Linked DNA regions of Saccharomyces cerevisiae S288C. The main gene of each other region encodes a partner of the protein of the gene in region 2 in a complex. Each region holds a gene or a part of one and is shown on either strand. Other genes may lie near its edges. The genes, in order: MRPL20, MRPL51 and MRPL50.

The links.
Region 1: MRPL51 (region 2) and MRPL20 share a complex: the UniProt entries of both Saccharomyces cerevisiae proteins name them as parts of the mitochondrial large ribosomal subunit.
Region 3: MRPL51 (region 2) and MRPL50 share a complex: the UniProt entries of both Saccharomyces cerevisiae proteins name them as parts of the mitochondrial large ribosomal subunit.

What each region holds. Positions count from the first base shown.
Region 1 is NC_001143.9:598,501-601,753, forward strand, and holds MRPL20 (mitochondrial 54S ribosomal protein mL58 MRPL20), read right to left. Parts: upstream 1,182-3,253; coding exon 594-1,181; downstream 1-593. Other genes in the region: ribosome dissociation factor GTPase HBS1, read right to left, coding at 1-390; DEAH-box RNA helicase PRP16, read left to right, coding at 1,357-3,253. UniProt on the Saccharomyces cerevisiae protein: Component of the mitochondrial ribosome (mitoribosome), a dedicated translation machinery responsible for the synthesis of mitochondrial genome-encoded proteins, including at least some of the essential transmembrane subunits of the mitochondrial respiratory chain.
Region 2 is NC_001148.4:728,119-730,791, reverse strand, and holds MRPL51 (mitochondrial 54S ribosomal protein mL43 MRPL51), read right to left. Parts: upstream 1,002-2,673; coding exon 579-1,001; downstream 1-578. Other genes in the region: SNT309 (Snt309p), read right to left, coding at 1-300; YPR099C (uncharacterized protein), read left to right, coding at 679-1,035; TMH18 (Tmh18p), read left to right, coding at 1,264-1,310, 1,407-1,845; LEC1 (Lec1p), read right to left, coding at 2,177-2,673. UniProt on the Saccharomyces cerevisiae protein: Component of the mitochondrial ribosome (mitoribosome), a dedicated translation machinery responsible for the synthesis of mitochondrial genome-encoded proteins, including at least some of the essential transmembrane subunits of the mitochondrial respiratory chain.
Region 3 is NC_001146.8:669,148-671,879, forward strand, and holds MRPL50 (mitochondrial 54S ribosomal protein bL9m MRPL50), read right to left. Parts: upstream 1,047-2,732; coding exon 627-1,046; downstream 1-626. Other genes in the region: YNR021W (uncharacterized protein), read left to right, coding at 1-444; SNF12 (Snf12p), read left to right, coding at 1,271-2,732. UniProt on the Saccharomyces cerevisiae protein: Component of the mitochondrial ribosome (mitoribosome), a dedicated translation machinery responsible for the synthesis of mitochondrial genome-encoded proteins, including at least some of the essential transmembrane subunits of the mitochondrial respiratory chain.

The DNA.
Region 1 (3,253 bases), on a different chromosome or scaffold from region 2:
ACCATTGCGTTCACCCTCACTTTCTTCCTCGTCAAGCCAGTCTGGAAGCCGATCATTTGGCCTTTGTTGCGAAATTGAGATGTTTGCCAGTTTTTGAGTAACATTCGCACTCCCATTAGCAGCAGCAATTGGCTTCTTTGGTGTCTTCTTCTTCTTCAAAGTTTTCTTCAATTCCGCCAGCGTGCTTTCCAAATCGAAATTGTTGTCAAACAAAGCTAGCTTAAGTGAAAGATTATCCCAGCCTTGGTAATCCTGTAACTGCGCCTTTAGAGTAGGAAATACCTCGTTCATTAGATCATATTCATCGTCATTCAAATAATCATCAAATTCACCTTCGTCGTGAAAGTCCGGCATGTCGTCTGCTCCATCGCTGTAGTCACTGTAAGCCATCTCGATAGTCAATAGTTGTCGAAGCAGAAGCCTTTGGGTGTCTCCAAGCTGTACTTAACTCTTTTTAAATTGCTTATTGGTTAGCTTTCATGTGGTATATTCAAGTCACATTAATGGGCGTCTCCGTGCATTGTGATCAATATATGAATACGAAGTACTTATAGAGTAGTATTTACACGATTGTTATTATATTTATATAGCATTCACGCCTGGTACCACAGGAGTTTTCTACGCTTACGGTCCTCTCTGGCTATACGCCTCTTCTCCTTCCAGCGTGATTGGATTTCTTGCAATCTACTTTCCATAATTTGTACATGTTGTTCACTAGGTTTCGAGACCATGGATACAAATAATGGCGAAATGCCATATTTTGCAGCCAAAAATTTGCGTGTATACTTTTGAGGATTGTCAAGACGTAACTTCCGGATCTCATCAATTTCTTGAGGTCCCAGATGATAGGTTTTGCCGTTCACTGTGCTCTTACCTACGAGAACATTTGGACACTGCTTCGCTTTAGTGCTTTGAACAGGCATGTCAAGCCCTCTACGAGGGTCACTGGCTGCCATAAAGCTACGTGGAATGGTCTCACTGTTAACAGATCCGGTTGCGATGGATTCTGATGGTTGATAGTACATTCCTGGAGCATCTCTGTGCTTTAAATACCCTTTATAGTTAGATGCGCTCTTAGTCTTGTTGTAAATCGTTGTCACTTGTGTTTTGGGAAATCCAAATTGCTTCCAGGCAGATCCAGCAGTGTGGAACGATCTGCAGCACACACCTCTGCCAATCATTCTTGTGCTATTTTACTTTGTCTTTAATTTTCCATTTTAACTTGTTGAAAGTATCTCTTTTTGCCCTCTTTTCTATTTTCTCAAATAATAAAAGCGGTGAAAGCTGAAAAATTCATGAGATGACTGCAGATGATAAAACACAAGAAGGCCCAAAGACAATACAAATACCTCTGGTATGGGTCATTCGGGGCGTGAGGAAAGGATAAAAGACATATTTAAGGAACTTACGTCAAAAGAACTAACGCCTGGGTTGCTTTTGACACTGCAGAAACTAGCGCAAAAGCCGAATACTAATCTAGAACAGTTTATTGCCAGCTGTAAAGCTTTGACGAAACTCAGCAGTAACAATCCAATCATTTTTAATGAACTTCTGGAGCTCCTCAAGAATAAATCTGAAGAGGACTCGACAGGCCCAAAGAAAATCGCCCCTTCTATAAATAAGAGAAAGAAATTTAAGATCCAGTTAGACCTTGACGATAATGAAGATGAGCTAGATTCTCCAGTTCAAAAAAAACCAGCACCTACACGGACGTTGTTCAAGAGAATAGATAAACTAAAGGCCAAACAGTTGAGGCAGTATTCGCCCACCGTGAAGGATCCTTCTCCAAATAGTGAACAGCAAACACAGAATGGTCATGCTGAAACGAAGGACTATGAACCGACTCGAAGCGAAGTAGTTGAGGAGGACAGAGAATGGTATGATAATGATGATGATTATGGAAATTTGGTGCCTGAACCTCTGTCTGAATTGCCTGAGGAAGCGAAACTACTACCTGTCATTAGGAATATCGACAACGATGATGCCTTACGAAATACCGTTCAATTATACCCCATACCACTCAAGCAAAGAATGGAATGGATCCCTCCTTTTTTATCAAAGTTTGCTCTTGAAAACAAAGTGCCCACTTCCATAATTATCGGGTCCATCTCTGAGACGTCCAGCCAAGTATCCGCTTTATCAATGGTGAATCCATTTAGGAATCCTGACAGTGAATTTTCTGCGAACGCCAAACGAGGTAGTAAGCTGGTTGCCTTGAGAAGGATAAACATGGAACATATTCAACAATCTCGAGACAACACCACTGTTTTGAACACTGCCATGGGGGAAGTACTAGGCTTGGAGAATAACAATAAAGCAAAAGATAAGAGCAACCAAAAGATTTGCGACGATACAGCTCTTTTCACGCCATCAAAAGATGACATTAAACATACTAAAGAGCAACTGCCTGTTTTCCGCTGCAGATCTCAATTGTTATCATTGATAAGAGAAAATCAAGTAGTGGTGATAATTGGTGAAACGGGCTCAGGTAAAACCACGCAACTTGCACAGTATTTATATGAAGAAGGATATGCCAACGATAGGGGGAAATCTATTGTTGTCACACAGCCGAGAAGAGTAGCAGCCATATCCGTTGCAAAAAGGGTTGCAATGGAAATGCAAGTTCCATTGGGTAAGGAAGTAGGCTATTCTATAAGGTTTGAAGATGTGACGGATTCTGAGTGTACAAAACTTAAGTTTGTAACGGATGGTATTCTACTCAGAGAGACCTTATTGGATGATACACTCGATAAATATTCGTGTGTTATTATTGATGAAGCTCATGAAAGGTCATTAAATACAGACATTTTACTAGGTTTTTTCAAGATTTTATTAGCACGTAGAAGAGATCTAAAACTCATAATCACTTCAGCAACAATGAATGCGAAGAAGTTCTCCGCATTTTTTGGTAATGCTCCTCAGTTCACAATTCCTGGAAGAACTTTCCCCGTACAGACCATATATACTTCCAACCCTGTTCAAGACTACGTAGAAGCTGCAGTTTCTCAGGCTGTGAAAATTCATTTAGCAAACGATTGTTCAAGCGGTGATATTCTCATTTTCATGACAGGTCAAGAAGATATTGAAACAACGTTCGACACTCTGCAAGAAAAGTTTTTGCAAGTATATTCTAAAAAGTTTGGTACCGCAAACTTTGAAGAGATCAATGATATTGAAATTTTACCAATCTACTCGGCTTTACCTGCAGATTTGCAATTCAAAATTTTTCAGGATCTACATGGCACTAAAAGGA
Region 2 (2,673 bases):
AGTATCAATCCTCGGGTATTTCCTTCTATACTCTTCCAAAAATAAAGTATCATCGTCGTCATTAAAATCCGGTGTTCGCCTTTTTTTGTTATTACGTTGTTTCAAGTATTCGGTGTACAATGCATTTGTAAGCGTAGAAACACTATTATCGGCCCCCTTTCTCTTCGCAAGTATACCTCGTATTTCGGGATGAACAGGCTCTCTTTTTATATTCGCAAATTCCTTCTTTACTAATTGATCTATTTCATTTTTGTAACCATCTGGTATTTTCCCTTTATCAACAAAGCTAAGGCCGTCCATCAAATCTAAACGTTGAATACCGTACGGTTGCTCTTTCAGATATCCTAGAAGTTACATCTTTTATATGTTTCAGTCTTATTCCATATTTATTAGACTAGTGTGATTTGCAGGGTGTAAAGCGGGTAACCAAATACAAGAGGTCATATTTCAGGACATGATCATATAACAATGGCAAAATTGACTTTAAATCTTAAATATCAGGAGTCTTATCTGCCCCAAATTATATATACAAGTATAATTATCTCTCTCTATTTCTAGAATTTTCTTATATACTAAAGCTAAATTCTATGCCTTTTCGCAGCATGCAGAGGCGACCATATACCCCTCACACTACTGTTCAAGCTTTCCACGTTATCATTCTTTGTTCTTCTGCGTAAAATGTCTCCATCAGAATCCTTCAATAGCTTTAGCTTGTTTTCTACATTGTCAATGTTCAAGTTTCTCACACAAATAACTTTTTCACGCCCATTTGTGTATTCTGCCCTCAACAAAGGATGTCCAGACTTCCTCATCACTTCAAACTGTATCCATGGGAACTCCTGGCCCCATTTATCTAATCTCTTTGAAGTCAAAAATTTCCTCATGCCTTCCGAAGACCCTCCCCAGTTACAGAATTGCAAAGTAATCTTTCTGCATGGAAACACGAATGCTCCAACTCCATTACGACCTATGGAATTTCGTGCAATAGCTTTCACAACCATTTCTCCATATATTCGTGTCTGTGTATCTACTTAGTCATGGTTTATGATAATCGTATTGATTGATCTTTTTTATCTCAGGGCTTATGATTTGTTGTAATTCTTATGAGCATCCCTCATCCGAAAAAGACGGAAAGCACCGTAACGTATAGTGCGATAAACTTACAGAAAAGAATAGTATTATTTAAGGGAGTTAAATGGAGTTGTTTGATGATATAGGCAGATCAAACTACGCTTTACAGTCCAGTAAACTTAACAACGAAAAATGTGTTTAGTCAAAACTACGGCTCATTTGCTTTTTTATTCCTTTGTGTATGTACAGATTAAGACACAAGAAAAAATTTGAACAATTATGATTAATTGAGAATAACTGACTAACAACTTTTATGTACCAACTTAATCTTTCAGATTTGGAGGAACGACGTTTTATTCCTATGTAGCTTCTCCAATCGCATTCAAAGTTCTTGAAAAAGACCAATTTTCTGCTTTGCAAAATAAGATCTTCCCGTATTTTTTCCAAATGCAAGCGGCATCACCTGTCATCCTGGCCCTTACCGCTCCAATTGCCTTGACAACAGGACCATTATCTTCTTTGGTGGTTGCATCTGTCAGTGGGCTAACCAATTTGTTTTGGTTGTTGCCCTGGACCCATAAAGTTAAAGAACAAAGAAAGAATATTGCGAAGAAATACACGGGTAGTGAATTGGAAGCAAAGGATGCTATATTACGTAAAGAATTTGGCAAGTCGCACGGATTGAGTCTTTTGTTCAATCTTTCTAATGTTTGCGGGATGCTTGCGTACGGTGTTTGTTTGTCAGGTGGTTTGTTAAGAAAAATTCCAAAATAATTATTTTACAAGTAAATATATATATGCAAGATCATTTTTTCGTCATTCCTTTGCCAAGGTGGAGATGAAGTTCGCAATCGGAATTTTTTGACCCTCAATTAAAGAATAAGGGACTCAGTTCTCTGCTATCCTGATCTTGGCTAAAAATAACTAAAAGGGGAATTGTGCTGTTTGTAGGATCTTAAAATAAAAGAGAACAATATTTATCTTGAAGTTTTTTCTATTTTTTTATTTCTACAAGCTTTTCTTATATATAGACCTAGCAATCCTATATTATTAAGCCGGAAAATCGTAACGAATAAAAACGAATAAAGGAGATACTAGAAAGGGCCTACTTTTTAGCAATTTGAGCTTCTAAATAATTTTTTAATTCCTGTGCGAAAACTTGAGATCTCAATTTATCAATTTCACTTTCATCAACAACAAGATTCAATAAATCTTTGTATTGCTTTTCTAATTCAACTTCATTCTCTTTATGTAAAAAATCGTAATCACCTGTATCGAGATCCAAATCCACCAAATCACCATCTCCAAGTCCAAAAGATCCAGAGCTGGATGGCATAACCAAGGAGTTTATGTCACTCCAATTCTTTTGAAGTATGCCAGCAGCGTGTTTGTTATTTTGTTTAGTACCTTGTTTAACCTTCAAATCTAACAACTTCTTATAGATTTTTCTCGCACCAATCTTTTTATTAAGAACATTATTAACTTGAACTTTCAAAAGTTTGACATCAATATCGATATCATCTCTACAAATTAACTTATTGAAGTCGATCCTTTCACTCGGTCCTCCGAATTTACTCTTTTGCAAAAATTTCACTATCGTAG
Region 3 (2,732 bases), on a different chromosome or scaffold from region 2:
TTGAAATATATAAGTTTCACCGATTTGCCTGTCAACCCGCCACGCGATGATAAAGAATGGGAATCTTCAATTGAACCAAAGGCTATCATTCGTTGCGCTGTTCCCCAAAATGAGAATGAATTGAAGTTGTTAAACCAAATTATTTCCTTAGTCGTAGAAATCTACGATGGGTTCACTCAAGATTTAGTCCAACAGTCTCCAAACTTATTCATTACCAACGACATCTTGAAAAGAACTACCAACTTGCGTCAGCAAGAACTGAACAAGATCAAAAAGTTTATGAAAGAAACTGAATTGGAATTGGCAAAGGAGAAGAAATTAGAATTGGAAAAAGCCAAAAGACGTCAATTGAAGGCCTCTGGTCAACAAGAAAAGGTAGATCAAAAAATGAAAGAGAAAAGAGAAAGACGTCTCAAAAACAAGCAAAGAACAAGATTTCAGTAAGAACCACTTTGTTCTTCTTTCCTCCTTATAATTTTCTGAACCTCTTCAGTTTTTGTATACGAACGTTTTCCATGTATCCATACATTTAAATAGTAAGTATGTAAATTGGTATGTGGTGTTTTGAATTGCGATGTTGCCTATATACAAGATTGTACGCTATCTGAATACATACTCTTTACCAATCAAATGTCAAGACCGGGGATCTTAACCTCTTCGATAGTAATCCCAGAATCCAATAATCCCTTCTTTTCCTCTTTTGGCTTCTCTTCTTTCTTGTGGCCAAAAACAGATTCTTTACGTAACTCCATGTTCTTTTGAACTTCCGTTTCATGGCGTTTAGAGAGCTGTTGATGGTCTTCCTCTAGCTTTGCCTCAAGTGTTTGGTATTGTTTTAACAGTTCCGTATTTATGTCGTGTTCTTCGCTGAGTATGTATTTTGCACCATTGAAGTTATGTAAATAGTTTCTCATTAAAGATGGTTTGACATTTGCAACTTGTCCTTTATATAATTGAAATCGCGGGAAATCCTTCAGGACTTGAACCTTGACCCTGTGGGTTCTCTTTGTCAGAGCGCTCAGACACACCTGGGTGCAATGTAGCATCTTTGGTCGACCTGTTTCGTTCGTTATTTAGTTAGCCTTTTATATTCCTTACGGTATAACGTAACTTAACTGCCCTTTGAGTTTGCTTTTTCATCGGAAAGAACAAATGAACTAAAAACTTGCAATAATAAACAAAAAAAATACAAAATAACGTGGATGTATTAAACCAAAAACAAAATAAGACAACTCTAAAGCTGTCAAACAGAGATCTAACGGATTGAACCATGTCCAAAGTAATGAAACCCAGCAACGGAAAAGGTTCTAGAAAGAGTTCAAAAGCAGCCACACCTGATACTAAAAATTTCTTTCATGCAAAGAAAAAGGATCCGGTGAACCAAGATAAAGCAAATAATGCTTCTCAAATTACGCCAACAGTGCCACATTCTCATCCATCAGATATGGTTATCCCTGACCATTTAGCCGAATTGATTCCTGAGCTGTATTCTTTCCAACAACTGGTGGATTCCGAGAAAAGATTAGATCATTTTATTCATCTGCGAAACTTACATATGAAGCGAATGGTTGCGCAGTGGGAGAGGTCAAAGCTATCCCAAGAGTTTCTTTATCCTCATTTAAATTTTCCAAATGTAAAATTTCTCCGAATCTTCATTTCAAATGTTAGTGAAAACCAACCCTGGCAAATGGACACAAACAATGAGGCTGACCTTATGGCACTGGAGAATGCCACTTGGACGATGAGAATCGAAGGTCGATTATTGGACAATGTGCAAGCTAATGATCCAGCAAGAGAAAAATTTAGCTCATTCATAGAATCGATAGTGGTAGACTTCAAAAATAAGGAAAACGATAATGTGCCATCGACTAAATTTAATGCGGCCCCTGAAGAAAATGCCACCGAAGGACCCAGTGATAAGAAATTGAACTTAAACTTACCGTTACAATTTTCACTGCCGAATGGTGACAACTCTACTACGACTAATACCGACCAAAATAATGCCACGATGGGGGAGGAGACTGCCAAAAAGGATATGAGTTCTACAACTCCAAAACTAGAATCAGTGAAATGGCAGTATGACCCGAATAATCCTGTAGACTTCGATGGTCTCGATATTAAGAGGGTAGGGTCTGAAAATGTAGAATGCACTATAAGCATCCTGCGAAAATCATCCCCAGAAGAGCCATTTATGAGCTACTCTCCACAACTAACCGCAATAATAGGATTGAAGAGCGGTACATCACATGATGCAATATTTTCCATATATAAATACATCCATTTAAATGAATTGCTTACCAATGATGAGTCTGCATTCGAAAATTTGATGGGCAACAGGAACAATCACAATAGCAACACCAGTACTAGTAAGATGCTTGATGCAGCCTCCAGTCAAGTTTCTATTGTAAAATTAGACACTCAGCTTATTACCTTATTACCCAGCAGTCTTAAAGAATCTTCTCCAGATACAATGAAATTAACGGATTTACTGTCCCTTATTAATAGTACTCACCTGCTCCCATTACAGCCAATTGAAATTGATTACACAGTACGCGTTGATAAAGCTTCCACTTATGGTGAGTTGGTTCTTGATATTGAAGTACCTGATGTCAACGCTCTAAAATTCAATAATACACAAAGAGAAAGTCAAATTGGGGCTGCTGAATTGAATGAAAATGCCAGGGAATTGGAACAAATCAAACCCAAGATAGCTTTACAGGACAAAGAAATAA